2 linked regions of the Struthio camelus genome follow. Each later gene encodes a partner of the first gene's protein in a complex. Links are inferred from orthologs where the notes say so. Each region holds a gene or a part of one and is shown in the gene's direction. Other genes may lie near its edges.

Region 1 (15,157 bases):
CCTTTTAAGTTTGAAGCCACACCAGCACGTGACAGAGTTAATATTTTGTCCCATTGGAGCAGGCTTTTCCTTTTGGAGTCATCTTCCACACTCTTATCAAACTCTGGAAAGTAGCTCCATGGCAGTTACCATTTAAATCACCTTTTCTAGCTTTTTTTTTTTTTTCAAAGATCCTAAGCTAGAAATGAAGTTTTCCCAGCTGGGAATTGTCTGTGGAGAAGAGTTCCCAACTGTAGAGCGTTTCACGCTTGTCCTGTTCATGTGTCCTACTGTAACATATCCAACATCTCTCAGTTGTCCTTCCTGATTCCAAGAGGGCTCATGCCCTGCTCGGATCACCTGCTGTGATCATGTAGTTCCCATATTTCAACCCTTTCAAGCTGTTCTAGATGACTGCAAGCCTGGCCCTTGTGGAAGAACACAATGACTAGCCATTGTCCCAGTCAGGGCCCTGTGACTGCAGTTTATCAGAACGTTGGCACCTGTTTTTTTCCCCCAGAACGGCCAAGTTCCGTGTTTCAGTGTGCTTTACCCTGTGCCAGGCTCTTTGGACTTGGGTTCAAACCACATCCTTGAAATTGGAGGTTCCGGTTGCCCTGGGTAGTACCAGGAACAACTGAAGACAATAGCAACTGGGTAGAAGTAACAGTTCAGAGGAAGCGTGACCCACTGCTGGAGGAGGAGCCCTCCGAGTTTGCTGGTATTACACCAGCTGTGCAGTCCGTTCACAGCAGGCTCAGCCAGGGCCAGGCTTATGTTCCAGCCACATGCCTCTTGCCAAGACAAACTTTCTCCTAGGGTCTGGAGCTGATGTGGGCTTTTTGATTTGGTTTCTGTGGTTTAGTGCGGGCTGGCACTAAGAGCGTGTCTGGTCGTCCCAGCACTATTGGGCAGTGCCTGTGCGGAAAGAGGCCTCCTTGTTTGGCTGCTCGCTGCGCGTATCCTGCTCGCAGCTCTGCCTAACCCCCTCAGCCTGCTCTGTGCACACCCCCAATCCTCCACACCACCCCTGGATGCTGCTCCTTTCCTGGAGCCAGGGTCCTGACCAGCTTCCTGGGGCTGAGCCTATGTGTGGTTGCCCTGGGAATAGGCACTTCACTAGCACTGAAAGTAGGTGGGGTTTTGAAGAGGAATTTGTTCCTGTTCAGGGTAAAAGCCTGGGATGCAGTGAGCGATCTGACAGTTTTTGGCCAGGGCTGTAGCCTTTTGCATGTGCAAGCACTGGTGCTGTGTGCGGGAAATGTCTTGCTTGTTCTGTCCTGACCTTCCTTTCCTCCTGTCTCAGGTGTTTGTGGAGACACTGGACAAGTGCTTTGAGAATGTCTGTGAGTTGGACCTCATCTTTCACATGGACAAGGTGGGTTCTAGGCTTCTGCGCGCTCCTCTAGGCCACCACCTTTTGTTTCATCCCGGCATCTTGCTGCTTTTGAGCTCTGCCTTCTCTAGCACGTACATTCCTGAGCCCAGAAGCAGGCTTCGCTCCAAGCTCTTGAGCGTTTCAGGAGAGCCTATAGCTAGGTTCTTCCCTGAGGGAGATCAAAATTCTGACTGGGAAGATTATCAGTATGTGTTCTTTATAAGCTGCTCGTGCCATGTCCTCCTGGTAAACGATCCGAGTTGCTTGGCTGCGTTCTGAGTCCTCCGTGTGTAAGCTGGCTTTAGGTTCAAAGCACTTGCCCCAGTTCCCTGCTGCGTTGCTGTTGTGGTGCTGTGATCTCTGCTACAACAAAGCAATCGGTTTGTGGATATGGGTTGGTTCTGATAACTGCCCTAGACGTGCTGGGTGTTCACGTGTTCATGTGACAGGGATCCATGCTGAGGCTTCACTCTCCACCTCTTGCACAGTGGTCAGCACTGATGGAATTAAACAGGATCTGATTTTGTATATAGGCATTTTACCTCTTCTTACTGCGCTGTAGGACACTATTTGGAGTCTTGTTAACATTTCATTAGAGCTGGAGAAAACAAGGGAAAAAACAATGGGAGTATTTGGAATACAAAGTGTTTGGTAAACTTTCATTTGAGCCACAACCTTTAATGCTTCCTCTTTAGCTGGTCAGAGTTTCTGGGTGGGAACCTATTCTCTTTGATCATCTTCTAGATGCAACTGAAGATAGCAGGGATTATCCTTAGGGATAGGAGAGAGTTAGCTGATGTGTCCTGGGCTTGTGTTACTGCTGATAAAAGTTGTTCCTGCTTTGCTGAAGACAAAACATAACAACAAAGAGGAGGAGTGAAAAGATCAGTAAAGCTGTAAAACGTTCCCTTTCTGTTGGTGGTTCTTATTTATAAATTCTCTGGCAGAGAAATAGAGTTAGCAGATATTCTTAGAAGATGCTCTGGAGCAGCTGAATGTGCTAACAACTGGTTAAGATTTTGACTTTATAGTTTGCTTGGTTGTAAACTTGCAGAAGGTTTACAAGGTTGATTGTGTTGTCAGCAAAAAACACTCTTTATCAAAGCAAACAAAAGGAGAGGGAGACGAGAGAGGAAATCGGTGAGGAGTACCTGAGGGAGAAGTGATGCAGCAACCCAAATCTTCTGTGGCAGTGTCTGGAGGAGGATACACTCTCATTTACTCAATTTGCGGAGTGACCCAGACCTGGCAGCTTTACAGTGATTCCGCAGTCCACAGGCAGAAGAGGTTGTTCCTATTGCTTGTGCATTTTGCTAGCATTAGCATGAACTGTCCTTCCTCTAAACTTTCTTGACAAGCTAAGGATTCAAAGGAGACAGAAATCAGGAAGAATTTCTTACAGGGGAAATACTAGGCTCAGTCAGCCCCAAGGCTCTCATACTAGTTAGGTTTGTTTATTTCCGGTTCTGTGTTCCTTTTGTTTCCCAGCCTTGACTTCAGTCCTTGGCCGCTATCAGTTGGTCCTCCTGTTTGGACTTAATCTATCTTTCTATATTTAGCATTTGCTTGATTCCCGGATGTGTTTCTGCTGACTGCCAGTGGTTCCAGCTGCTAGGTTACAGGCTTGCACTGTTGGGAGCGCTGAGAATATGCAGGTACATTGTGCTGGTTTCCATGTCTTGCCCCTCTGATGTCCGGACAGAACGCCTCTCACAGGCCCCCTGCCTCCAGACTTCAGTTTGTCAAAGGCTGTGCAGGAAAGGTTGGGCATGGCGCTACCTTCCGCTCTGACTGATTGATTACAAAGTTTGTGAGTTCCTGACTAGAACAGGGGAGAAAGTAAACCAACGTCCACTGGAAAATGCTCACTGGTTGAGCTGAGCCTTTGGCTGTTAATATCTCAAGCCCAGCAGGTTCCGGCTAGGATTTGGGTGCAGCCTTGCCTGGACCCTGTGAGGCGGCAGCATGAAATCCATGAAATGAGAGCTTCTGCAGGTTTCTGGTCCCTGGTCTTGCAGCAGGCAGCTGAATGGGGCTGTCGAGTTTGTGGTTCACAGGCAGCCAGTGGCACAGGTACTCTTATGCTGTCAGCTTTGGAAGCAGGAACCATGAAGCTGCAGGGATCCTTCTTTCACAAGGAGAGGCTGGAGCTGTGGAAGTCGTGGAGAGACTCAGAACAGGCTGCATGATGGCATGGTCCTGTTGTACAGACCCTAGTTGTGCTTCATGCCTTGGATGAGAACGTGAGTTTTGCTAAGCAGCTGCAAGGTCCCAGAAAGGACACGTTTTGTTCAGGAAGCGCTGTGTTTCGTTTCTGAAAACAAAGCTTTCTTGGAATTTCTGCCCTGTTGGTTTTGGTCCAATTTGGACTGAAGCCAGATCTTGAAGGAACAACATTTCCTGCAGCCCAGATGCTCTCCTGTTGCGGAGAGCTGCTAGTATCGTCTTGTGGCGTGTTTGCAGGGCTGGACGTTGGTGGACACTGGTGCTGTGGGAGAGCAATTACTGTGCTGTGGTGCTTGGAGGCAATCGGGTTATTATGGCTGACCCAGAAAGGGAATGTATGGCAACTGGCTTTCCCTGTGCAGCACTGTTGAAAGACTGATCACAGCACACCTTGATGCTCCTGGCACTGTCAGGGCAGGGCAAGACCCGTGGAGAAGCATTACCGGGGCATCGGGCTTATAGCTGGGCAAAGCTGGATTTTCTCCTTCTGGTAGGTTCTCTAGCGTGGTTTATTTTTCACAGCGTTGCCCTGCAAGTATTTGCCTCACCATGTTTGCAAGTGCAATCAACCCTCATGAAACCATAAAACAAGATAATAACTTAACCATCTTTCAGTAATAGCCTATTTCACGGAAGTAAGCAGAGACCCATAAATTCATTATCTGTGCTGGGTTGCTGTTGGAGACTGCTGACTTAGCAAGGAAGTCTGTACTGTGCTGGATGGTGTAACTGAAGGTGTGTCACAGCAGCACAGCATGGCCCAGCCCACCTGTGATCCTGTATTCTTTTTTCTGGGGTTGCCAGCCAAGACAGGCCTTGTCTAATGCTGTGGTTGCAGTGTATTGCTGGTTCCCTTTCTGGCTGGGGCTGGCAGGAGGTAGCAGCTCTCTCCTTTGGGACAACTCTGTTTCATCCTTGGCCCCTGGAGCAGGAAGGAGACTCTCTTAACAGTTGTGTCCTTTCCCTGTGTGTGTGTGTGTGTGTGTGTGTGCACGCGCGTATCACAGTCCTAGCTATTCTAAGCGAAAGTAACAAAATCAGGCACTTTGTCTCTGGCCTGGCTTTGGAGATAGAAGAAGGAGAGGGAAAGGAGGATAGGTAGAAGGTGTGAGAAAAAGTATGCTGACTGGTGGCACCAGGGAGGCTCTCAGATCACTGCTGCTCTGTGAAGTGTCCAGATCCCAGTGCCTTGAGGCCACTGTTCTCATGTGCGCTTTCTAGTTGTTCCCTGGGATGAACTGTGCCCTTGTCCTAGAGAGGTCTTCTGCTGCAGAGAGGGATCAAACTTCAGTGCCGCCATCAGGGATATTGCAACCAGGGTGTGTCAGTGGGACAGGGCCAGACCTGGCCTCCCTTGGGGCTGTTTTGCATAATGGTCTGATGGGCAACATTTACTCCAGTCTCTTTGGTCATTCTTCTCTAAAGCAGAAGTACAAGCAGTATATCTGGCTTCCTGGACTGTCACTGAGGGTCCAGGGCAAGGGTCAGATAGGCAGCCAGCTGCCAGAGCTGTGTTTGCTGCGCTTTCTGGCTGAGATGAGTAAGGGGCTGGATATGCATGTCTCCGGGAAACATCAGCCCCCAGCACTGCTTCCACACTTGAGTAAGTGGGCTAATTCACCTTGCAGTGGGTGCCGAAACCCAAGATGTCTGGTCTTCCTGGCCAGCAAGTCATTCAGTCTGGCCAAGGCGCAGTGCCTCGGCAGAGATGGGGTCTCTGGCCAGCGCTCCACACTGCAGTGCCCGCTGCTTTGTCCTGAATCTGGTTGTCCCAAAGGTTTTCATCCCTGCCAGCCTGCAGGGGCTGCGGCCCCTGCAATTTCCAGCATGCCCATGAACCTGGACTGGGTTCACGGTCTTCCCTTGCCTCGTAGGTTCACTACATCCTGCAGGAGGTGGTGATAGGTGGCATGGTGCTGGAGACCAACATGAATGAGATCGTGGCACAGGCAGAGGCCCAGAGCAAGCTGGAGAAGGCAGAGGTGAGTGGTAATGCCGTGGCTCTCCCTGGTGTGACCTGCAGGGGAGGACAGCATGGGGGTTTGGGAGGATTTGGTGCGATGTGCTGGGGTATGCAGTGCCGGTTGACCGGAGGGGCAAAATGTTCCCTGGGACGTCCGTGGTGCATAGGTCTGATGTGCTCCAGACTGACGAGGAGGGGCAGGGTGTGTGGTCTGGAGTGTGTGGGGGAGAGGAGCTTGTGTATATGGGTTGTTCCCAGCATGCCTGGGTTCTGCCCTTGCGAGCCCTGAAGAGAGCGTTCAGGGCATCCCTCATTCGGCTGCACACCTTGCTTCAGGTGTATAGGGAGCAGTCAGAGTGTGGAAATCACTGTTTCCATCAAGATTAGTGAAGTGAGGTAGTGAAAAGTGTTTATTGCCCCTGTTTGCAGGGCATTGTGAGGAGGCAGTTGTGCGCTGATAGCAGGAGAGGGAAGTGCTTGGATGTCCTTGCCTCTCCCAGTAGTATGCTATTAACACAGTTGGGACTATTGATCAGGCAGGCGGTGGAAATGCAGGCTCCTCTGCTGAAGTAGGGGTGCCTGGCTGGCTGCTGGGGTTGAGCTGGGCCTGGCTGCATGCTGGGGATGTGGCCAGGCCCTGGGCGCTTGCGAGCGGCAGCGCAGTGCTGGGAGAGCTGGAGACTCGGACTGGGAATGCTCCCTTGGCAAAGCACAAGGCTGAGCCGGAGGATCAGCCTGGAGCCTTCTAAGCCCTGGGAGTCTTTGGAGCTTACAAAGGGCTGGCAATCACGGTGTTCCCCTCTCTGCTCTCCTCACCAGGGAGGCCTCTCGGCAGCTCCTTCCCGCGCTGTCTCAGCTGTGAAGAACATCAACCTGCCAGAGATCCCTCGCAACATTAACATCGGAGACATCAACATCAAAGTGCCCAACCTGTCACAGTTTGTGTGAGCATCCCTAGGCAGGCCAGGCGAGGAGGACTGTCCATGAACACGGGCTGTAGCCTGGCTGGCTCTCCAGCTGAGAGGACCTGATCTCAGCTGGACTCTCTTTGCCTGTTCTGGATGTGCCCCCCTCCCTGTCTCAGGCCCTGGCCTTGGCCGTGCAGCACGTGGAGGGCCAGGTATGCTGCCAGGGTGCGTGAACTGCCTGGCAGAACAGAGAGCTCTGGTGGGGTGTGGGGCCCAATAAGTGTGGGGTAGTGTTGCTTGCTGTCTGTCTGTCACCTTGGGCCCTGAGCTGAGCTGTGCTCCCTGGTGTCCCTAGCAATAAGGGTGGCCTTTCTTCCCCTCCCTCCCTCCCTCCCTCCCTCCCGGGTGGATGTGCAGCCTCTCCTCTAGCTGGGGCGGGAAAAGCCAGGACCTGGAATTTCTAGTTTTAAAAATGGATCTATCCCTGGTGGCTTCTGGAGGAGCCCTGGGTTGTCCCTCTCCTCCGTCCCCCCGGGCTGTGTTGTTCTGACTGCTCTGGCATCCCTGTGCCCCCGCTACTCCTACTTACTGGGTATGGACCCTCTGTCATGAGATGAGTAGGGGTTTGGTCACCTGTGCTCCTGCTGGGCTGCTTGGTCTGGGCGAAGGGATAGCATCTGCGGTATAGGCAGACATTGGCGGTGAGGGGGGAAGACGGAGTCCTAATAAACCACTATGAAAATCTGCATCTGCGTGGGTGCTGCTGGCCCGGGGGCTGTGGAGGAGCGGTGCTGTGGGGCGGCCTGGCAGGGGGAGCGTGGGCAGAGGGCCTCCGTGCAGCTCCTGCTGGGGCTGCCGCTGCCCAGGGCGGCTTCTCGGCAGGGGGAGCTGGTGCCCAGGCTGCCGTGCTGCAGGGCTGCCAGGCTCTGGGTGCCAAGTGCACGCAGTGTAGCCTGCAGATGGGCTGGGCTTTCCTGCTCTGTGGCCTCCTGGTGCGGGCTTCGAGGGCAGGCTTGCCCGGCACCCCGGAGGCTGCGGTGCTGCCACGGGGGGAGAGCAGGAGCACCAGGAGGGCGCTCCCGGAGCCCCCACCAGCGGGACGGCCGCTGCGACGCGTGTGATGGCGCTGCTTTCTCCCCTCGCTGTCAGGGCGTTGCTGGGACTGGGGCAGTTCACTGCTCCTGTGCTAAGGGCGAGCTGGGTGGTGAGGCCACTGGCCCCTTTGTCCTCCTGGGAGGTTGTGGGCGATGGGGTCAGCTCCGCCTGCCCCTGCCTGGCACCCCGAGCGTGTGGCACCCGCAGGTCGCCTTGCTGAGATCCTGCCCTGCTCTCTGGAGCAGGCAGGGGGAGCAGGACAGCCCTGCTCGGAGGCTGCGCCGCAGCAGTGGCCATCTGCCTTTAGAGGTGGCCTGGCAGGGCTCTGGCCACCTATCTGTGACCTGATGCCCGCTGCCCTCCCCGCCAGCTCTCCGGCCTTGCTGTGCCGCAGAGCCTCCCCAGTCGGCTGTGAGGCCACGTAGCTGTGGAGCCTGCTTTGGCTGTTGCAGAAACGGCGGTGCTCGTCTCCATCCAGCCCCTTCTCTTGCCCAACGCCAGCCGCTGGGAAGCTCTGGGAAGCTCTGCCTGGTAGGAAGCGCTGCTCGCAGGGAGCAGGACGTCGCCGGGCACGCGGGAGGCTGCGGCACCCGGCTCGGCCGGGGCCAGGGCTGGCGCGCGGCCCTGCGGCCCGCTGGGAGCTCTCCCTGCGGTCTGCGTCCGGGCTGGCTTCGGGGAGGTGGCCCCAGTCCGGGGGACGGGTGCGAGGGCTCGGCCGGAAGGAGGTGGCCGGCCGAGCGTGGCGTGGAGGCGTGGGCCGGACAGCGACGTCTGCCGAGCAGAGGTGCTGCTCTGCCCTGCCCCGAGCCCCCGGCTCTGGCGGGTTTGTGTCCTGTCGCGGCTCCATCTGGCCACCAACGTCCAGGGACTGGCTGCGGGAGCCTGTTCCTGTTCTCATTTCCCCTCCCCACCCCCGGCCAGCCCAGCTGCGCTCCCGTGGGCTCTGCCTCCACTTCCCTCTGGCAGGGAAACGGTGACTGTGCTTGGAAGGAATTTTCCTGTGGTCTCCTTGCCCCCCTCCGCTCCCCTCCCTGCCAGCTTAACCCTTCCCCAGCTGGCCACCAGCCACCGCGAGCTGTTCCTGGAGGTCAAGGAGCTGGGCACGCAGTTTCTTCCTCTTCCCCGGCGGCCCTCCTCCAGCTCCCAGCGGAGGTCCGTGCGAGAGCCGGCGAGCGCCCGGCCAGGCAGGGGACGTGGGGTCTGGCTGACCCCGGGGCTTGGAGAGGAAAACTCGGGATTGCCGCAGAGCGCAGGTTGGACGTGGCGGCAGCCAAGCGGTGCCCGGTTCTCCCTCTGCTCCAGGCCACGTGGGGGTTCCCGGGGGCACCCGCTGCGCCAGGGAGGGCCGGGTCCTGTCCAGCCCCAGCGCGGCACCGTGGCGCGGCGGTCGCTGGTGCGGGACATGCCTGGCAGTGCTTGCTCTGCGGCAAGGAGGTGTTCAGGCGCTGCTGCCTCCGGTAGCCGCGTTGTCCTCGCCGTCCCTTCCCGCGTCCTGCCGGGGGCCCGGCCCAGCGGGGCCGCGGAGGCCGAGGACCGCGGGCTGCGCAGGAGCCGGTGAGTCCGTGCCTGCTGCTTCAGGCTTTTCCCTTTCCCCTCCTGCTCCCTCCTCGCTCGTGCAGAGGGGGACGCAGAAGATGGGGTCGTTCGCCCTGGGATGAGTGGGGCCAAACCTCCGGCCGCGCGGTTCCTCCCTGGGGAGGGTTGCAGCCCTGGCTGCGCTGCCCCGGGGGCGCACGAGGCAGTGCAGCCCCGTCCCTCCCGCATGAGGCCCCCGTGCCCCAGGGCGGCCGGCTCCCGCCCTGAAACGGGAGGCCCTTGTGTGCCCCGGCGGGGCGGAGGGAGGGAGGAGGCCTGGCTCCCGCGACGTGGCTGTGCGGCACGCGGCGGCCCGGTGCCAACCCTGGCACCGGTGCTGGCAGCGCTCGCGGGGCTCAGCGCCGTGCGCAGGCGCGGGAAGGGCCGGGGCTGGCCGGGTCCTGGGGCTGCCGGCCCCGTGGGGCGCCTGCGGGTGATGGGGGTGGCCGGGAGGCGCTGCGAGCAGCGGGGAAGGAGGGCTGGCTCCTCCAGGGACGTGTCTCTGCTGCATGGTCGGGGAAACGGCGGATGCAGCGCTGCGTTGGGGCTGGCTCCATCCCTGGCAGCTGGAGCTGGGGTGCCCAGCCCAGCCTGTCCCCTTCCCCGGCCGGGCTGGGTCTTGGCGCCGAGCAGGTGCTGGATTTCGTTGAGATCAGCCAGGGTTTGCTCATGGGAGTGCGTTCCCACAGCTCCAAGCCCTCACCTCCTTGGCAGCGAGGTCGAGGGACGCAGATGGATGGAGCAAAGCGTATGCCCAGCCCCACTTCAGGTACCTGCATACCGCAGACAAGAGTGTTTACCCTCTTCTCTGCCAAGCACAGGGCGAAACCAGTTCCCTATCCCTCCAACTGGGCTCTGCTGGGTAGCTTGGGCCACTTCCAGGGCGAGGAAAACCGCAGGCGCTGCTGCCTCTCATCCAGCTGCAGGGCGCCGCACCAGGCTGCGGCGAGCGGGGCGGCCACCGGCCCGTGGCGAAACCCAGCTGCACCCCGGCTGCAGCCCCGCGCCAGTGCGGGTCCCCTGAGCGGGCACGTGAGCCCGTCCCTGCCGGCACCAGGTAGGGCAGGGCACGGGGCTGGGGTGATGAGCGGCAGGGACACCGCCCCTGGGTGCACCGAGCCAGCTGTGCTCAGCTGGCTGGGTGCCACTGGGTGATGGCGTGACCGGTCCCCGCATCCCCTGCCCCTCCAGCGGGCTGTGTCCCCTGCTCCCCCAGGGGTGAGCAGGCTGGTGAGGGAGCAGGAACCTCGGCAGGACCCTGGGGAGGGGGCCTGAGGCCGGCTGGGCGGCTGCGGGCTGTCCCCGGCAGCAGGGCGCCGCGCTCCCCGAGGCTGCGTGCGCCTGGCGTGGCCCGCTTCCCCCAGCAAATGCCTTCCAGATGCGGTGGCCGCGGTGGGTCCCGCCGCTCCGGGGGCCCCGGCCTTGCTGGAGGCGCTGGCCCCGTGCAGAGGGGTGCCTGCCCCGTCCCCGCTCTGGGCGCACGGGAGCCCGGCTGCAGCCGGGGGCACCTCGCGCCCTGCGCCCTGCGCTGCACGGGGGGACGGGACGTGCCCGGCCAGCCCCTCCGGGCAGGGCAGGCCAGCAGCCCAGGGGTTAAGGTGGCGAGGAGCGGTTCAGGTTACTTCCCTTGGAGCCTTAGGAGGAAACTTTCCTCCCGCTGGCTGGCCGAGCTTGCAGAGGGGAGCCAGAGAGAGCCGTGGGCAGGCAGGGCGCAGGCAGGCTGCCCCGGCGGGGATGGGGCAGGCAGGGAGCCTGGGGCCTGTCGCGCCCCGGGGCTGAGCGCACTGAGGTGAGTGGGGCTGCCGCAGCCCGGACCCACGGCGGTGTCGGGGCAGAGCCTGGGGCCAGCAGCCTGCAGGCATCGCTGGGCTGGGCTGGGGAAAGGAGGGTCTGCGTGCCTGTGCCCGGGCTGAGTGCTGCAGGGGCTGCGGGGTGCACGGGGCCACGGCGCTGGGCAGCGTGATTTACGTGCATGAGGAGCATGGGGTGCATGCGTGCTGCAGGGGCTGCGGGGCGTGCACGGGGCCACGGCGCTGGGCAGCGTGATTTACGTGCATGAGGTGTATGGGGTGCATGCGTGCTGCAGGGGCTGCGGGGCGTGCACAGGGGCCGCGGTGCTGGGCAGCGTGATTTACGTGCATGAGGAGCATGGGGTGCATGCGTGCTGCAGGGGCTGCGGGGTGTGCATTACAGTATGGAGCATATGTGTACTTTAGGAGGGCTACAGCGTGTGTGTGAGAGAGGTTATGGGGTGTGCAGGGCTGGGGCCTCAAGGAACCTCTGTGTGCGCGTGACCCAGTCTCTTCTGAGCGCCAGGTATTTGCACGTGGCCATGGAAATGGGACACGAGGTGCAGTGAGTGCCTGCTATCTGCAAGGAATTGCATTGGGCAGAGGTTTTGGGGATGTGCCCTCACCCGAGCCGGGGTGAGCACTGGCGCACCGTGCCGCAGGGTGCCTCTGCGAGGAGCTGGGGTGCGGCATGCCCATCGGTGCAAGCTGGAGGGTGTTTGGGGGTCCCCGGGCACCGTCCCCGCTGGCTGTGGCCCCCGTCTCCTGGGGGGCTGCACTAGAAGCAGACCCTGGCCAGAGCGTGTCCTGCAGCCCCAGGGCCTGCGCAGAGCCGCGGCTGGGCCGGGCGGTGGAAAGGTCTGACTCCGCAGGGCCGGGGATGCTGCACGGCACGGGGGTCGGGACGGCTCCCCATGCCCTCTGCAGCCACCAGCGACACCGGCAGCTGTGTCTGGGCGCTCTTGGGACGCTCGGGGACGGGGCTGAGTTCCCTGAGGATGTTTCTTATCCATTTCCTATGTTCTTCCCAAGCCCAAGCGCTCCTGCTCCCGGCAGGGCAAGTCCTGCTGATGTCACAGCGCTGGAGAGATCAGATCTTGGGAAAAGGCACTTTCTGTTCCCGGGGCAGGATGGATCGCGCTTCCTCTCCCCGGGCCCTGCACGGGACTTTGTGCCTTCGCGCCTCTCTCCCTGGCGGAGCTCCCGGGCAGACCCGCGTGGCAGGCCAGCTCCCGCGCCCGGCGGGAGGGCGGCTCCGGCTGCTTTCCCTGGCAAAGGCACAGCTCTCCCTGCCCTCGCACGTGGCGCACCAGGCGCCCCTGCCCTGCGCACCAGTGCATCGGGCCCCGGGAGGTTTGCTCAGCTCCCAGCCGGAGCCTGGGGTCCCGGTGCTGTGGGGTGCAGGCGAGGCTGTGCCGGCCCGCGGGACGCCCGCTGGCTCCCGGCTGTGAGCCGGCCGCCGGGAGCCCGGAGCTCGCCCTGGCCTGCCGTGGCCACGGCTCTCGCACGGGCTGAGCGCTGCCCACGGTGCCCGAGGCTGCTCGGGACCCTGCGGTGGGAGCACCAGGCACCGGGCACACACTATCTTGAGATGAGTTCATGGGACCTGGAGTTTGGACTCCTCTGGTACAACATAAATCTGGTAATACGATCTTGGACTTTGTGAGCACAGTGGGCAGGGCAGTTTCGCCCCAGCGCGGCCCCAGGCTTCCACCCTCCTGCCTCGGCGGGACCCCCGGGCGCGGGCTGCGCTGCGCCCTCCTGCTCGCCCCCAGCCCCGCGAGACCCGGCGAGCTCTGCCGAGCCGTGGGCAAGCAGGGAGCGCCGAGTCCAGCCTTAAGGAAACCCCGGTCTGGGCTGGGGTACCGGGGCCGTCCTCCTCGCCCTGCAGAGAGCCGGGGTCGTGGCCACCAGCTGTGACACCGCTCTGCTCTTCCCTTCGCAGGGCCAGGCAGGCGCCCAGGAGGGAGCCCAGGCGTCCTGGCCTGCAGCCCGCGCCCGTTCCCACACTGCCTGTCCCTGTTGGTGCGGTCCCGAGCTGCTGGCTTCGCCCCAGCTGCAGCAACACTGCACTTCACATTACCACTGCGGCACAGCAGGGAGGCAGGTGCACAGAGAGCGTGTCCCCGGGGGCTGTCACCCCCCTGGGCCTCATGGCCGTTTAATAATTCACCCATTAACCTGGACTAATAAACCTCGTGGGAGCGAGAGGCTAAAAGCCGTGCCAGGTGGGCAGAGCCTCCTTCCCCGGTGCTGCTCCTGCAGTCCCACCATGGCGGCAGGGTTCTTCATCAGCAAGAGCGTCGGCATCGTGGCCATCGTGCTGGCCCTGGGGGCCGTGGCCACCATCATTGCGCTCTCGGTGGTGTATGCGCAGGAGAAGAACAAGCCTGCCGCCCCCTCCGCCTCCACCGCCACCACTACCACCACCACCACCACCACTGCCCCCATCACCACGGCCGCCCCCAGTAACCTCTGGAACCAGTGGAGGCTGCCCACAGCGCTGAAGCCGGAGAGCTACGAGGTGACTCTGAGGCCCTTCCTGAAGCCCAACGAGAACCAGATGTACATCTTCACGGGCAACAGCACTGTGGTCTTCATCTGCGAGGAGCCCACCGACATCATCCTCATCCACAGCAACAAGCTGAACTACACCATGCAGGGGGGCTTCCACATCTCGCTGCAGGTGGTGGACGGCTCCAGCCCACCTGCCATCAACAAGACCTGGCTGGAGACCACCACCCAGTACCTGGTGGTGCAGCTGGCAGCGCCGCTGCAGAAGGGCCAGTACTACAGGCTCTTCAGCATCTTCACCGGGGAACTGGCCGATGACCTGGCTGGCTTCTACCGCAGTGAATACATGGATGGGACGGAGACCAAGTAGGTGGAGGGCGGAGAGGGACGGTGGGAGACAGGGAAGAGGGAAGGGAGCTCAGGGAGAGCGGGTCTGTGAGATGGGCTGTGGCAAAGCATGGGGCTGGCCCAGAGACAGCAGAGGGCACGGGCCAGGTCTGGGGCATCTTGTCTCCAGCTGGGACTGCGGAGACACAAGGCTGTGGGTGCTGGGGTGCTCCATCCCCTGTGCCCCTGGGGCACAAGCCACCCTGGGTCTTGCCCTGAGCGTGTCCCCGTGCTCCTGCCTGCAGGCTGGGCTGGGGAGCAGGTGAGGAGCAGGGTGAGTGCTGCTCCCTTTGCTCTGCTGAGGGATCCTGACCCTCCCATGGGGCCATGGGGGCTGCGTGAGCTACGGGTGCCAATGGGGGATTCGTTTGCAGGGTCGTGGCCACGACGCAGATGCAGGCGACCGATGCGCGGAAAGCCTTCCCCTGCTTTGATGAGCCTGCCATGAAAGCCAACTTCACAGTCACCATCATCCACCCGACCGACCACAAGGCGATTTCCAACATGCCTGCCAAGAGTGAGTGGGGCAGAGGGAGCCCCAGGGCTGGGACGGGGGGCCCGGGGCAGGCTGGCGATATCCCATCCTTCTCCTCCTCCTTCAGGCACCTGGCAGCAGCAGATTGATGGAGAGAGCTGGAACGTCACCGAGTTCTTGACCACCCCCAAGATGTCCACCTATCTGCTGGCCTTCATCGTCAGCCAGTTCGAGAGTGTGGAGAACACCTCGGGGAGGGTGTTGGTAGGGCTGGGAGCTTGGGGGACAGGGCAGAGCCTGGCGGGGGACGGGGGCTCGGGGTGTCGGCACGCATGGGACGGGGCAGAGCCGAGTGGGGGCTGAGCCCAGCGTCTCTCCCCTCCAGATCCGCATCTGGGGCCGTCCCCAGGCCATCGCTGAGGGCCAGGGCAGCTACGCGCTCCAGGTGACTGGGCCCATCCTCAGTTTCTTTGAGCAACACTACAACACGTCGTACCCGCTGCCTAAGTCTGGTGGGTGCTGGGGGGCAGTGGGGCTGATGGGGCAGCGCTCCCCAGCTGGCGTGCACGGGAAGGGGGTCGTGCTGCCGGCCGTGGGAGCAGCGGCCGGTCCGACCCCTGGGAAGCACCGCGCCAACGGGGCTTCTCCCTCCCCCAGACCAGGTCGGCCTCCCCGACTTCAACGCGGGCGCGATGGAGAACTGGGGGCTGGTGACCTACCGGGAGAACTCACTGCTCTACGACAACGCCTACTCCTCCATCGGCAACAAGGAGCGGGTGGTGACCGTCATCGCCCACGAGCTGGCCCACCAGGTGCCCGGCGGCCCCCTCCTGGCCCGTGCCCCACGGCCGCGATGGGCTGGCTGAC
Region 2 (15,514 bases), on another chromosome or scaffold:
TTATCTGGAGGAGGGGGTCATTTCACAAACAGAAGGACGCTTTTAAGATTATTTTCATTCTTTTTTATTAGACTGAGGAACACTGCGTGGCAGTGTGGGAGAGGAGCCAAGCTGTAGCATGCCTTCAAACCTCCAAATCAGAGGAAACCGTATGGGAACTCAGATTTTCCTGTGCGAATGGCTTTGAGAGCACTCACTGGGCTCTTTGGGGAGCTTATGGTTTTCAGAGGCTTTCATTAGTGCCTACTTCAGCATCCTGACCAGGAGCAGGAGGCAATTTTTGTTCTTTTCTCACTAGGAATATCCTGGGTTGAAATTACTATTCCCTAGCTTTATCCTTTAAGCAGTAAGCTAAAATGTTATATCATGCCCTTACGCTTAATATTGAAAGGGGAGAAAAAGAAGTAAGATAAAATAAAATAGACTCTAAACTGCAGCAAACATTTATGCATTTGCTTAAAAATGATCAACTAAAAACTAAAAAGCACAACATTCTGGTTTGTGAGAGGATGGGTTTTTTGCTATTTACCTTTAGAAACCTCAAAAACTTACAGGGTCTCTCCTTATTTCCAGAAAACAAAACGAAACTAAACAAAACACTGGTGGGTAAAAGTTTAAGTTTTTGCCTTCTCTTGCTCTCAGAATTACTGGTTTAATAAAGTAAAAAGTAAAGCAATGACATTTCCAAACGCTATTGGCACTTTAGCCACAAATACTGGTGTTAAACACGGCTCCTACTGCATGCCTAGCTGAGATGCAGAGGCCTTCCACACGGAGGCACCTTCGCCTAGGAAGAGAGGAAGCCATAGAAATCCATGCAGTTTTGCAATGTGCTGGATCAGCACTTATCTGTAATGTATTTTCCTTCTTTTGCAGACTCAGATGTGCAAATAGATCCACACAGGCATTCACATGGGAATTTGGTTCCCACTTTTACACAGTGTTACTGGAGCTAGTCCTATAAGAGCTGTGATGCAGCTACATGGCACATTGCAGCTCCAAGGAGAGATAACCTTGTTTAGACAAGGTTATCTACCTGGGCACCCTTAACGTGATGCTGCCTGGTTCAGTCTATCTGTTTTCTACCATCTTTGCATCTTTCTATCAGAATCCAAAAGTGGGAGGGAGTCCAATGAGGCCAACAATTTTGCTGTTGGGAGCTATGCACCCTTCAAATTAAAGTGGATCTGAAAGCCTCATTCTTGTCTTGGGTCTCCAAAACCTTCAGTCTTTTTTGTAACATAGATTATATGTGGAGCAGTGAAAAACGTTTCTGCTGACCCAAGAAAGTTGCAGCATTGCCCCTGTCACTGGCTCTTTGCATGGAAGCTGCCTTTCAGGAGCTAAGACTCCACAGATTGGAGGAAGCTCTTCACCACCGCAACAGAGAAGGAGCCAGGCTGTTTCTCACTGGTGAACTATTCAAGCTGTATACACATAAGAGTGCTCCTCCAGTGAGGCAGGGTGAGAGGGGAAACTGCAACAGATACTCTTCTCAGAGGAACATCAAGTGACAGCCAAAATATGAGCCCTGCTACTTGCCCGCCCAGGGCAAGCAGCTGTCGGCAAAGAAGGAAGGATGGAGGCAGCTAGAGGGAGGCTGAGGGGAAAAGGAAGGGGAACCCTTCTCCGCAGGGAAGGTTCGTGGCCAGGCTAGGACCAGCGTGGTCCATCACAAACCATTCACCGCAAAGCTGGGGCTGATGCCTACAGGAGTGGCTGGCATGGCCATGGCACCTCAGCTGCGGGCTCTGTCTGAAAGAGCCGTTCTGTGTACGAGGGAGGGATTACTGCACTGTAAGTGTAGTTATTTGGGGACCCAGCCATGTTTCTACAAAATGAGTCCAGCCTGGCCTCCATCAACCCTGTTGGCTGTCGGGGGGCCAGTGCGACCCAGGCTGTGCCAGAGGTGCGAGAAAGTGAGAGGCTGACCGCACCTGCTCCCAGCGTTACCCTGGTCTGCACCTGTGGGGAGCAGCGCATTTCTTGGCGTTTGGAGACAAGCTGAGAGCGGAGCCCCCGTGCACACCAGAGCCGGTCACCAGTCGGTGCTCAGCTCGGCAAGGGCCAGGGCAGCATGAAGGCTGAGGTGAGCACGGGGCGGAGGGCCCTCCAGCTCAGTGGCAGTGGGCTGCTAGCCTAGCATGGCATCTGACACGTAACTTCGCCCTGAGGGAATAGCCAAGCATGGCTTTGATTCAGTTTTGCTCCCAAATTTGACCCTAGGGTTAGCCTGGGTACAAGCGGTCCTTGGGTTTTGTACCAGCTCCCTTACAAATTTTTCCATCGCTCCTCGCCGTGAGAACCTGCTGCAGAAGCAGAGGTGCCCGATAATCTCTCTCTCTTTCATCATTTGTACTTTGAATGCTATTATTTAGAAGCTTTTTTGCAATCCTCTTTACACAAAAATTGGGCAAGAACTGATTACATTCCTCCTGTTCACCAACTACTTTTCTGGAAAAGTTTTTCCAGCCAACAAGGGCAGGCGTCAGGTATACAGAGAAAAACACATGAAAAAATGAAATCCACATACAAAGCTACTCCTTATCAAAGTTGCATTAAAACAGTTAAAAAATTTACTTTGCCCAGCCTTTCCCCACCGAAGATAGCACAAGTAAACAAAAGAAAATCAGGCCCAGGGCAGCTTGCCACAGCTGTCACAGGGAGAGCGGGTGGAAGACTGGTCTAGTACCACACAGGAACCTGCTTGGCACAACACGAGCTCTGTACACCTTCTTCCCGACTTACTTGCTCTGAAAGAAGTCACTGCATACTTCATGTGCCGTGCAAGTGAGAACAGAGAGCAAAGGTCTAGCAGGACCTGAGGAGACAAATTTCACACCATGGTACCACTGGTTTAGTACAGGTATGTTGGGTGAGAGAGCAAAAAAAAAACCAAAACCTGAAAGTGGTTGATTAACATTAAGAACTTACTCACAATTTTTGAAAGTTTTTCAGTTTTCCTAAATGCACTGTGCAAAGGAGCACAGTACAGCCACACCGCAGCCGAGGGCTGGCTTGCTAGCTGTGATGTTTCCCTGTGATAGCTCTATTGAAAAAAAGTTTCCAGTTTGTGCCACAAGACGAGCCAGCTTAACCTGGCCTTAGCTCAGATATCTCCATTTCCATCACAGGTTGAAGACAAGCCCTTAAGGAGGACCATGAGAGCTGCGATACCGATCAAGCTCAGATTCAAGCCAATCAGTTGTCTGGGACCATCATGTTCTGTAACCGCGATGGCTGTATCCTCTGTGATTTCATTTAATCTCTTTTTGTACTAATTAATATTTTTGGTCTCTGCAGCATCCTATAGCAGTGACTTCCATGGTTGAGATATGAGAAAGAGCACTTCTTATTGTTTAAATGTGCTATCTGATAATTTTTCTGGGTACCCATTGATTCTGGCATTGTGAAAAAACAGTGAGCAAGGACATCCTGTTTGCATTCTTCATGCTGTTCATCATTATATGGTTACACTCCCCATCTCTGTGGCCGCTTTTCCAAGCCGAAGAGTCGGAGTCTGCTTAAGCTCTTGGCTGCTCTAGAAAGCGTGGCTTGCGTGTCTCACAAGTGGTCTGCCTTCCAGCTTCATGACCGCCTGCCATATCTGCAGCAACCACTGCAGCTGCTGATAAAGTGATATTCCCTGTCTCCTTTCTGTTAGGTACTCCCACACAGGCTTCTTCTTTCTCCCTGTTTTCCGGTCATTTTCCCAGCAGTCATTCGTCCTCTCCTTCGGGTGCCGTATCTGGATCTCACATTGTCTTCCATTGGCAAAACATAAGAGAAGGGGAACAGTTACGAATGTTGATGTTGATGTTGATGAATGTTTACGATTACCAAATTAAATCCACAGGTTGCATAAATGAACTGTTTGTGCCTACTTCTCCTTGAATGTACTTTTAATCTGAAAAAAAAAGAAATCCTCACATCTAGTAACTAATGAGGTGTGACTATGTACAGACTTCCACGTCTGAGCTGGCCATGTGCAGGTTCTTAATCTACATAGGTGAGAGGTGCCAGTTCAATCCATGAAGGTTTCTCAAGGTTTTCAGCATTGTCTGTGGGCTGAATCAGCGAGTGGAGTCACTTATTATCCTCGATCCACAGTAACTTCCTTCTGAATAATTCCTGGCATAACTTCACAGGAGACAAGAGCATCATCACAGTAATATGTCTGGCTGCTTCTGAATTCAAATCTCAGGGCAAAATTTAAGCAAACTGGAAAACAAACTGAACAAAACAGAATAAAATATTTACTATTGTCTCTACATAAAGTGCTGAATTTTATACTGCCTTTCCCAGAACTATGTGGATCAATGAAAACACGGTTTGACAGAGCAGAGACATAGTGTTCATCAGCAAGAGGAGAGCCTGCGTGCCCATCAATTGATATTCAACCTTGGACCAAATCATTTTTCCATTCAAGATCTAATTATTCGCCGCTAGCTTTAAGATTAGTGTTCCTCTGCTAGGGTTAAAATTTATGAAGCATATTTGACGGTGTTTACATAAAGAAACACTAACAGCAATAACACTGAGAAATTTTCCTTGGCCGCCAATGGTTCCCCATTCGTACGTCAGGAGAGTCAGCCTGTCTGACAAACGGATTTAATTTCAATAGCCCAAAAGAGAGGAGAAGAGAGGATGCGAGGGAAACAAAAACCGCAGTGCAGTGCCGATGAGACCAGTTTTTCAGCCGCTCTTTTGCTCCCTCTCTGGAGGGGGAAGCCGCCACCATGAATAACAAACAGCAAAAACAGAGAAAGGTTTCTAACAGAAATCAGGGCAGCGCCTGGGGGATGGGAGCTGGGGCACCGCTTATGTAACCGTGGGTATAAAAGGGAAACCTGGGTCACCTCCCAAAATCAGAGAGTGGGGGAGAAGAAGAGCATGAGCATCTTCCTCGAAAAGCAGGTTTGAGGTGTGTGTTTCTCTGCGCCTTTTCGGTGGCTGTTGCAAGGTGGGATTCACGCGTGTGCCTTGGGCTCTGTTTGGGCTGGCGATGCCTTTAGGAGAGGTCTTGCTTTTACCTTCTGGGGTGGCTGGAAAGCTTTCTGTGCCCGTTCTGCCTGGCACGGTGCCTCTGCCACAGCTCCCTGGGGCACCAGATCCTCAGACAGGGTAGCTGAGGGCACGGCAGAGACTTTCACCTTTCGGAAGTCGAAGCTCTACCTTGAAGCACATGCTCATTCCTGAAACCCTGGCTACCCCACTCTACAGGGGTGGGGTGGGGGGGGGGAAAAGCCTGATAAGAGAGTCCACATTTAGTAATTAGAACGATATTTGTGCACTCTGGCTTAAAAATGGCTCAGGAGTAAAAAACTAACTGTAATTAAGTCATAACAGGATGAGATATGTTCCCAGGTGTAGCAACGTGTGTGCAGCCAGAGGGAAAGTGTGAAACGATTAAAATACGAAGCTCTAAGAAGTGCGATAGTGCCTGATGCATCTTCATCGGGGAATGTTAATTGAGCGAGTGTGAATGAGCAGCGGACTTGGCGTCTGAGCTTTGTACAAAGACACAAACATAAGCTAAAATCAAAGCTTCTAATTCATTACGGAGTCGAGCCAGATTTCCTGTGACGTAAAGCAGGAGTAGCACAGTGGTAAAAGCGGCTCAGCTGCCGCTGCCTTGCTCACTCGCCCCCAGTGATGCGGCGCAGGCATTTCTTGCACGCTGCTGGCCACAGCGACTGTGAGCAGTGCAGAAGCTGAAAACTCTCCCGTGAAACTGTTTTCTAGAGATCGTTGGGTCTTTTCATTCAACGACTTTATTGATTGAGTTTGGAAAAAACAAGCAAACAACAAGAAACAACAATCCCTGCGCTCCCCAAAGTTACTGACAACTTTTTGTTGAAGAAAATAGGACCGAGCCCGCACACACCAAAAAGAAAAAAAAGATCGGCTCGGCCAAAAACCTGAAGACTTTCAACTAAAAACCGAGCTGTCTTTGTGCGATGGAGCCGCCAGAGCACCACCCGGGAGCTGCCTCCTGCTCCCGGCCTCCCCGCGGCAAGAGGAGCCGGGGCTGCAGGGGGGCCCCAGGGCAGCTGGGAGCAGGGATGCCCCCCAGGACAGCTCCCGCAGTGTGCTACGGCAGCATTTCTGAATCATGGCTAAAGGCATAATGATATAAGGAGGACGATGCAGCAGCTGCAGGTTACATGGTTTCCTCTTCCCGTGTTTATTGTCCACAGTAACGACACGAGTCTGGCAGCTGTAGCATCTGTTATTAGCATCCCTCATGGCTTGTCAGCAAAAGTTAACAATTATTGTTAATAAGGATATTTTTCAGTGTTTTATAGAGCACAAAGTGCCCTTCACTGAAACAGCCTAGGCTTGAAATCCCTCTATGGACACTGAAAACTTGTGCTGCAGTTTCCTTTTTCTGCTGGTTAAGTCTTGCATAGGAGGACAGAGTGGACCAGCCACAGCTCACAGGCCCGGCACGGTCTGGCCCCCACGCACACCACTGGTGCCGAATGCCGAACGCAAAAGCAGAGGAGCAGGAAACACAGGTTTGATGGTGCCACCCCACGTCCCGCATAAGCCTCCTCCGGGCTCGAGAAGCTGGGCCCCAGCCGGCTGCACCTGGCTGCCTGGCTGCAGGGAGAGCTGTAGGCAAAGGGGGGTTACAGCCAGAAACCCAGCTCTCTCTCTTCTCAATATTTAGCTCAACAAAATGCATTTTTAATGGAGGAACCGCTTCTCGCTTGCCTGGATCCGTGGCGGGGATGCATGCCTTTTATAGCCATCTGGAGACTGCATAAGTGCTCGGGGGTTGCTCTGTTGACAGATGCTTCTTAGATTGGGATGCTCAGGCAGGGAGAGGAGAAAACACCTTAAATATTTCAAGCTGTTTATTCAGGCCTCGTGCGCATGATGGCATGCCACACGGGCCTATACTCAGAACTGCTTTTAGACCTCATTACAGCTAAAGTAATCAAGCTGTTTAAATGAAAAGCAGGGCTGCGGAAATTTTCCATCCCTTCTCCGATCCTGACAGTGCAATCCAGTCGCTGTTAGTCACCCCGGCCCAGGGTGAGCAGCCCGTCCCGCCTTCGTTCCTGCCTCTCTCCCTGAAGTCTTCATGTCACTGGGCTCCACAGGGCCTACCATGCCTGATCGGCTCTCTAAGATCAGGGTATGGCCATTAACTCAGTCTTATTCCTGTTGGAGCCATGGGACTTTAAGTACACTGAGGGCAGGGAACGGGACTCAGTTTAATCCAATGGCAGCAGCCCCAGTTTGGTTTGCTGTTCATTTACTCAAAGAGGAAGAAGTAGCCCGGCAAAATCGGAGGATCACTTCTAAAGCAGCAGAAAGACCTCTGAATCCCACCCCTTATGCATGACAATATTTTGACATCCTAGGATTTGAGAAACTGAGATTGGGAGGGGTGAGTTCCCTGTGGAGAACGGGATCTGGATTTGGCAACCTTACCATCTAGCTTTAATCCTGTCCTTTTCAACACATTTTGTTTTTATGATGAAAAGAAACAAACTTTTGATCTTCTGGATAGGTTAAGAGAAAAAGAAAGGCTAGAGATTGAGAGCTTAATCATTTCACTCTGCGTGGAAGTACATATCCCATTTACTGATGGGTTCACAAGCTGCAAGTTAAAAGCAATTTATCCAAAAGAGAAAAATCTGATCTGACAGTACAGTAAAATGCAGGTGCAAGGAAATGTTCATTCTGACTCTGACTTAAAATGGACTGACTTATTTTCCAGCCCTAGAATCAATTCTTTCTCCATAACAAGGAGTCTGTGTCCATCTTAGTAAATGTGTAACTAACTGCAGACTACCCAAATGTACTGGGTCTGGTTAAAGGTTGTGTATTGATCTGTAGACTCTTCTATGAATCCAGCGTCAAGCCACACTCAAGTTTCATCAGGTCCTATCTGGCCTGATCCAACTCCTTTCAGCCGCCCAGCCTGAGGTGCAAAGCGGCTTCGTGCTGTGTTGCTGGAGACATCCAGAAAGGGCCCTCCCTTCGGAAAGGGCATAAAGCCACTTGCAATCACAACACAGCACTCCAGGAGCAAAAAGGTGCTGAGAGGAGCCTGCCCGTTGTCGGAGGGGGAGATTCAGATCTGGACAGACGCGAGTAAGCACATTTATTGGTTTTGCTTTGAATGTCAGTTTTTCTGCTCAAGATCTCAGGCTTTTGCGAAAGGCTCTGGGCTGACTCCGCTCTCCGCAGATCTGGCTTAGTATAAGGGCTGGAAGCGAAAACTGTCCCTCTTGCTGCTTCTGCTCATGAGAAAGGAGTTAACAACATGGCTAGAGCCACAGCAGGAAAGCAAACTCCAGGCACCAGCTGTGCCTTATGGCACAGCCATAGCTTTGCCTCTAGAGCAAGTGGCACAGAGTCTTTCCCACTGCTACTACAGGAAGGATTAAGGAGTGCTTCAGAGACACAGAATCATTATAGAGAAGACCAGGGAGGGAAGGACAATGCCTCCAATTCCTGGCGTCTCTGTTTCTTTCCCCGAGCCTGGCCCAGGCTGGAAAACACAGAGGAGAGAAGAGTGGAAATGCTCTAGCACAGTGGCTGGGTTAACTGTGAAGAGAAAGTTGGAAGGATATTTCGTAAGATAATTTTTTAACTGGTCGTAAGCAGCATGGAAACCCTACAGCACTGCACATCCCCAGCTGCGGGACCTGGGCTGGGAGCGTACTACGAGCTCTAGTTGCTGTGAGGCAAAGAGAGACAGAGGAAGGGAGCAGAAGGGACAGCAGCAACTGCCGCCACCTACGTGCTAATTTAGAGGCTGGGATGGGAGTTAACAGCGAAGAGCAAACCGTGTGTGAACACATGGGACTGGAACTTGAGCTCTGCAGCAAGTCTTTGCCCCCACATCTGTGCAGAGCAAATTACTGAGGGTCCGACCGGCCGACACTAGCTAAGATGATGTTTAGACATCCTGAGGGACCACTGCAACAGCAGAGACCCTGTCTGCAAACAATCCTGTTAGATATGAACATACAATCAGGGAATGCAGATGTGCACGTTAACATGCATATGTACTTGGCAAGGTATACATCTAATTACCAAACATCTGTGCATCTTGGTTTTTGTATTTGCAAGAGAATGGTGATACCACAGACTGGAGAATTATTAGCCATAAAAGACCTGGAGATCGTTCAGTGATATATGGCTGCACATCAAAATTCAGGCTGGGAAGCCATCAGGGCTTGAACATTGCTTTTAAACCCGGACACTTCCCTATATAAATGAAAGTGTTGGTGATACAGACGTGGCACTGAGTGGTTTAGAGCCCTCCTGAAGATTTCAGTGTTGGTGTATTTGTATAAGGAAGCCTTGCACGTGTTTGCCTAGAAGCATCCATTTCAGCCATGTGGTAAGAGTGAATGCTTGTGCTGGGCTATGAAAACGCAAAATGCTCTGTTAGTGGCAAGCGTTCTGCTGCCTAGACATATAAAACAGGATGGCTTAGAGGACCTTAAGACACCTAGTTTCCCAAAGCACTTCCCGCGTAACAATAGGCAAGCTCCTTAGCCCGTCCGTGTGTCACCAAGACTCGGTGCAGCAATGCGCAGAGGTAGCTCTGACTAGGTCCCTGGAACAACATGGCTGCATTATTACAGGGTTTTGCCAGAACTAGTACGCTCTAGCTGGCAAGCTTAACTGGTCCAAGTGCATGACCATATTGCTTCCAGGACCTGAATCTTTAGGGTACTACAGTGGCTAAGAAAATCAAATCTCTGCCTAGCATTTTTCCACCTCCCGTCATCGAAACTGGTGACGACTTCACCCTGGACTTTGCAGGGAGCAGAGTCAGACCAGCACTAAATACAGCAATTCTCACCTCTGTAACTCCAGCGTTACGCTAATGCCTCTCCATACAAGTAAAATGAACAGTATTTATAGCAAGCTAATCAATCTTCCTTCCTTTTTCTTTAAGGAGACACTGTGGAGGTGGTTTTTCGACATGAAGCTGGCAGCAAATCTTGTCTGTTTGTTCGCATGCCTCACAGCAGTGGCCTGTGACCGCGTCTATGTCCACCCCTTCAATTTGTTTTCTTTTAACAAGAGTACCTGCGAGGAGCTGGAGAACCTGGTCCAGGAAGGAAAGAAGACGTTTGTCCCTGTCTCAATCGAGTCCCAAACCAGACCTGCCTATGAAGATCACCTGAATGACATAGTCAAGCTGGAAACCATGAGCTTGAGCATCAGAGAGAGGCAGAGAGTGAGCTGCCTGAAGGACTTTGTCTATGTCTTAGGTGCACGGTTTTACAGTGAGCTGAAGGAAGCACACAGAGGCCAAAACCTCCTCCTGTCACCAACCAGTGTCTATGGCTCCTTGGTGTCCTTCTACCTAGGTGCGTCAAACCAGACGGCAACTGATTTGCAGGGTTTGCTGGGATTTGTTAGCCCCTCTGGAGACCCTGACTGCACTTCCACAGTCGATGGACACAAAGTCCTTTCAACCCTGAGGACTATCGAAAGCCTCCTGGTCAAGAACAGGGATAAGGAGTTGCTCTTTTCCAAGACGCTCTACCTGTTCTCTGCCCCCAGGGTGCCTTTGTCTGAATTATTTGTGCATGACTTGGTCCCTTCTGCCAACGCGCTCTACGTTCGAGCCGTCGATTTCACAAACCCAGGTGCGGCAGCAAAACAGATAAACGCCTTTGTGGAGGCCAAAAGCGGGGGCCGAAGCAAGCACTTACTGGCAGACCTCGATCCAGCCACCAGCCTGCTGTTTGCAGCAGACTTTCACTTGGCAGGTAAGAAACAGCAAGGGCTCATTTCAGCAGCAAAGCGCGCCAAGGGCAGGTAATGCCCCAGTCTCCCCCGTTCGTCCCATTTAACAACACCGTGCTGCTGCGCTGGGTCAGGCTCTGTTCTTGAGGAGGAGGCAAGGTCGAGGAGGTTCCCACAGCGAGGGGAAAAAGGTGCAGTGCAAGAGGTGTAGTGCCGCATACCCAGGTGCTGCCGCCTGCTCTGCTGCGGGTCCTGCCCTGCGCCTGCTCTCCTCACCCTGCCAGCGCCCCGCCACGGCAATGGAGACAAGGCAGGCAGACTGCCTCGGAGAAATTAGCCTCAGCTAGGAAGCAAAGGATGAGAGGATTATTTCTTACCACAAAAGGAAAAAAAGAACCGTGAGGGGCTTCTAGAGAAAGTCATCAGGAAGTAGGGTTAAAATAAACAAAAGGAAATATCTCTTCACACAACACATGGTTTTAGAGGGGACTATGTGTTATAGGATATTGTGCAGGCTGGAGGTACGGATTCAAAAAAAGGCCAAAAAAAAAAAAGAAAACAACCCACACCGCAGACATGGCTCCTCTAGTGGCTGTTAAACAGAGAAGTCCGGAGGCAACTTCTGGCTAAGGAAGCAACTGAGCAAGCTGCCAGTTGGGAGAATATCCAAAATGAGAAGATGTAAGGCAGTTCCTTAGTTGCCTGGAGCTACTGCCTGCTGCTGTCCCAGATACGCCCCTGTACGACCACGGAGCCTCCTCCGCTGAGCGCAGTTGCTTTTCACCATCCTAGCAACTGAACACAATACCAGAGGTTGCAGCTTTATGGCAGCCTGCATTACCAATGACTACATTTCAGAGAACTTCCAGCGAGATGCAAGTGTCTAAGTAGGCATCTACTGCTAAAGGTGGAGCTCATGAAATGCTTCTGAGCCTTCCTTTTCCCACCTGTAAAACGGAGATCAGATTTTCTTTGCCTTTGATGGGTGCTGTCTGCTGGAGATCTATCGTGCTTATAAACTGATCCGAGAGCCTCGGGTGAAAGGTGTGAGTACTGGGGGCCAAGAACTCCAGCTTTCGCTTCATCAGTGTACAGTCAAGCATACAGATAGCGCTGTAAAAGTAATTCTTGTATTTTAACCTTGTACAGAGCTGCGTATCATCGCAAGAGCAGACTTTTCCTTCAGCAGAGCAATTTCTTCCTTGTCTTCTGTCTTGGAAACTTGCTGTTTTATTAGTTTAGAAGCACACGTTTGAGGGTCTGAGTCACTAGGTCAGTGCTGTTTCCTCTGCTCTCTCCCGAGGATGCCCTCTGAGATGCAGTTTCCATGTGTGGGCTGGAAAAAACTGGCTCAAGGATGAATGAATTAGATAAACAACTCTTTTCCAATGAATACTAGAGATGGACTTCAGCATTTGCTTTGCAGTTTGGTTATGGAGGGGCAACCATGAAAGCTGGTGCTTACAAGTTCCACATCCTGCTCCTTTAACTGCAGGAAGGAAAAAAAAAAAGCATTACATTGCTCTGGAACACATTACATATGTGCGTAAGATATTACTGACAGCCATAGGATTGATTAAAAAATCCAGTAAAAACAAAGTTTAAATATTGCAATGGTCTCACTTGCTGTTCTCTTGCACACAATTGTCACATTTGCAAACTGGATGCTAAGCCCAGATTGCATTTAGAAATCTACCGCTCATGAAATATTATTACTATTAAAGAAGCAGACTTCTTTGTAAAGTTGCAAAATAATTACAAACGAGCAAATGGAAATGGATGATGCAGCACAGTGAGACTGCAGGATTCTTAATTCCCTTCCCCCACTTTAGGCTGCTTTTCAAACATATATAACCTTGAACACCTTCAGGTTTAACTAGAAACGTGGTGGGATGCTTTTTGCCTTTTGTTATTATTATTAACGAAAAAAATCATAGCTTATCTGAAGCAGAGAGGTCCAGTGTCTCTTTATTGTCCTCCAGAGGCAGTACTCCAAAGTACTCCTGTCCTCTCCCAGGCTCTCAGGCTATATCTTCAGCCTGTGACTGATGGCTTCCACGATTTTTACTTCCCTTCCATTATCTTTCTTTTGTTTCTAGATACAGGCTTTCTTCCCTGCTCCCACGTGGTTGACAAAACGTTCCTCAGCCCCACAGTGACCATGTCCTAATCCAAGAGGACTCAGTGCAATAACGCGTTTCTTCCAGTGACAGCTAGCACTTTTTATCGACGGGATGTTCATCACCTTTGAATTTCTTTGTTTTACATTCCACATGCCTGAGCAAAAAGCAGGGTTTCTTTAGTAAATAGATCTCTTCTATGTCTTAAAAACAGTGCTGTAAGGAACAGTGACAAGTTGTTGTATTAAGACTACCGACTGCTTCTGCAGCACTTTCAGGGGAGTGCGTGCTTAGCTCCCAGTCGTTCCCTTCACATTCTAGTATTTTGTGGAACATCTGGCAGAAAAAAACCTGGCTGAGGGCAGAAGCATCCAAATCCTTACCTGGCAAAAGGCTGATGGGAGCCATTTCTCTCAGCACAGCAATGCTGATTTATGGTGGTTCATGACTGGCCCAATATTAATGAACCCAGTCCCACAGTCAACAGCAGAGCTTTGAAACTTTGCATAATCAGATCCAAATGCGCTACCACCAATAAATAATTAAAACAGTACTGCTGAAGAAACAATTTATCCGCTTGGCTCATTTATTTGCCCAACCAGTGATTTTTTTCCCCACTGGCAGCGTTTAACAAAACAACATACAACTAAACTGTGAAGTTCCCAAGCACCATTCTTGCTTCAAGATGCCTTTCTGCATCCAAACGTTTGCATGTAACGTGCCAGAGGCAATTAGCTTCCTGGTCCTTTGAGTCAACTCTTTCTGGAGAGCTCCTTTTACTTAATAACAACATAAGAACAGCCTGGAGCAAATCCAAGGTCCATGTCCTCAAGCGTCCATGGCTGACACAGGGCAGTGCTACTTCAGAGAAAAGGGGAAGGAAATATCAGTAAGCAGCCTGTTAGCTAACCTGCTGCCTTGTAAGTAATTAATGTTGGTTTATTTCTCGCTAAGATTCTTTATGTGCTTTCCAAGACTATTTAAAAATAGTTACCATCACAACCTTATATGTTCAGCTATCTGAATGCCCAGTTCTTTTTTCCTTTTATTTACCTTTGTTACAGTCTCAGCTTCTGCTCTCCTGTGCAGCAAGTACTGCAGGTTATACGGACACTGTGAAAATGGCTCCTTTCTGCTTTCAGCTTATATCCTTTGTTCTAGTAAAATGAGAGAAAAGTGAACAACTATACTCATTATTTTGTTTATGCCTTTCACGTTCCTGCCTGCTGCTTTTTTTTTTGGTGAAGTTAGCATACTAAGAGAAAATGTCTAAGTGAAACGTCTTGGCCTTTTTATGCAAGTCATCTAAAGGGCAAGAGTTTCTTTAAGCAACAATTTATTACGTATTAAATGTTTTAGGGCCCAGGATTTATCTAGATTTATTGAAGAACAGACTGGTTGACAGTACAGCTAGGCCAAGTCCTATTTTACACCAATAATACTTTACTACAGGGGTTCCTTTCTTTACCACAACATATGATCTGTTTTCCTAATTCCTTTCCGCCAAAGAGCAGTTTCAAGGTTTCTGAACTCTGCCCTTCTCACTGATGGCAGCAGCTTCTTTAACGTCAACAGGATTCTCTGTCCACCTGGGCAGCAGCACTGATCTATGGCAATGGGCAGATAACCTGTTGAAATGCAAAGCTGCACAGGAGCAGCAGGAGGCGAGAGCAAGGCTCCCTATACTTGTGAGCTGGGTAAGAAATTCATATTAAGGTTTGTTTAGAAAGCATTCAGACATGTCCTTTTAACCTCCTTGGCCTAAACGACATGTCATGTTTAGGGCTTAGCCCGTCATTGCTTTGGTTCTCAAGATCACCCGAGGTGAGGCTTGGAGGAGAGCTCGTGATAGCTGTCCTTCACAAGCCCCCCAGCTGTCTCTGTGGCCGCCTCTCCTCACCTAAGGGCATCCCTGCAGCAAGGGCCATCCCTGCGGCACTTGCCACGGGCTTCCCAGCTGCCCAGGTCACAGAAACCCAAACAGACCCTCCACACAGGCCTAGAAACAAACTGGGAACCATTTGGTAGTCTTGGAGGAGGTAGGTAACCAGGTAAACAGAAATACTGCGTCCAGGAAAGGCCACAAGATCGGTGGAAATACAGTAGCTCTGGTAGCAGTCCCGTGTTTGTTTGGACCTCGTGCCCCGAGTCTGCACCAACCTCTACCTCATGCCGTCAGAGGGTACTTAAAAGGCAGGATACATATGGTTGAGGTACCTACACATCATCTTATACACATGACCTTCGTATAACACGTAGTGTGCTTTTTTGGAACAGACATAATTTTTAAGGGCAGCAGTGAAAAGGAAGAAAGAAAGAAAGAAAGGAGAATCAATTACTAATTCTCAATCTGTTTTTCAGTCACTATTAAGAAAGCCTCGCGGCTGAAAGAGCCTCAGAAATTCTGGGTTGATTCAAACACCAAGGTCTCAGTGCCTGGGATGTCAGTGATGGGGACGTTCAAGTACAAAACTGACGCCAGCAAGACCTTCGCTGTGATTGAAGCTCCCGTCAGCAAGAACGCTCTGCTAGTGCTGGTGCAGCCCATTAATGGCAATGACCTGGACAAGATAGAGGCCAAGCTTCCCGTGCAATCCTCCGCCTGGCTTCAGGATTTGTCTCCAAGGTACAGTTCAGACACACAAACGCTCTCCCGTAGG

Evidence for each region.
Region 2: the proteins of ANPEP (region 1) and AGT are in contact, whole or in part, in a crystal structure (PDB 4FYS), measured with the Homo sapiens proteins. The link is inferred for Struthio camelus from reciprocal best matches to the Homo sapiens genes ANPEP and AGT. Residues at the interface, in NP_001141.2 of Homo sapiens: Gln211, Gln213, Ala351, Gly352, Ala353, Met354, Glu355, Arg381, Val385, His388, Glu389, His392, Glu411, Glu418, Asn438, Arg442, Phe472, Tyr477, Ile864, Phe896, Ser897, Asn900, Gln903, Ala904, Arg907; in NP_001369746.2 of Homo sapiens: Val27, Tyr28, Ile29, His30, Pro31, Phe32.

Annotation. Positions count from the first base shown.
Region 1 is NC_090953.1:682,309-697,465, forward strand, and holds the start of ANPEP (aminopeptidase N), read left to right. Parts: upstream 1-8,589; 5' UTR 8,590-8,802; intron 8,803-9,082; exon of another isoform or gene 9,083-9,103; intron 9,104-10,749; exon of another isoform or gene 10,750-10,913; intron 10,914-11,340; exon of another isoform or gene 11,341-11,440; intron 11,441-12,859; 5' UTR 12,860-13,186; coding exon 13,187-13,794; intron 13,795-14,189; coding exon 14,190-14,332; intron 14,333-14,417; coding exon 14,418-14,554; intron 14,555-14,675; coding exon 14,676-14,802; intron 14,803-14,947; coding exon 14,948-15,102; intron 15,103-15,157. Other genes in the region: AP3S2 (AP-3 complex subunit sigma-2), read left to right, coding at 1,286-1,357, 5,458-5,565, 6,366-6,494. UniProt on the Homo sapiens protein: Broad specificity aminopeptidase which plays a role in the final digestion of peptides generated from hydrolysis of proteins by gastric and pancreatic proteases.
Region 2 is NC_090944.1:91,961,633-91,977,146, reverse strand, and holds the start of AGT (angiotensinogen), read left to right. Parts: upstream 1-4,775; 5' UTR 4,776-4,924; intron 4,925-7,834; exon of another isoform or gene 7,835-8,112; intron 8,113-9,934; 5' UTR 9,935-9,961; coding exon 9,962-10,757; intron 10,758-15,215; coding exon 15,216-15,480; intron 15,481-15,514. UniProt on the Homo sapiens protein: Essential component of the renin-angiotensin system (RAS), a potent regulator of blood pressure, body fluid and electrolyte homeostasis.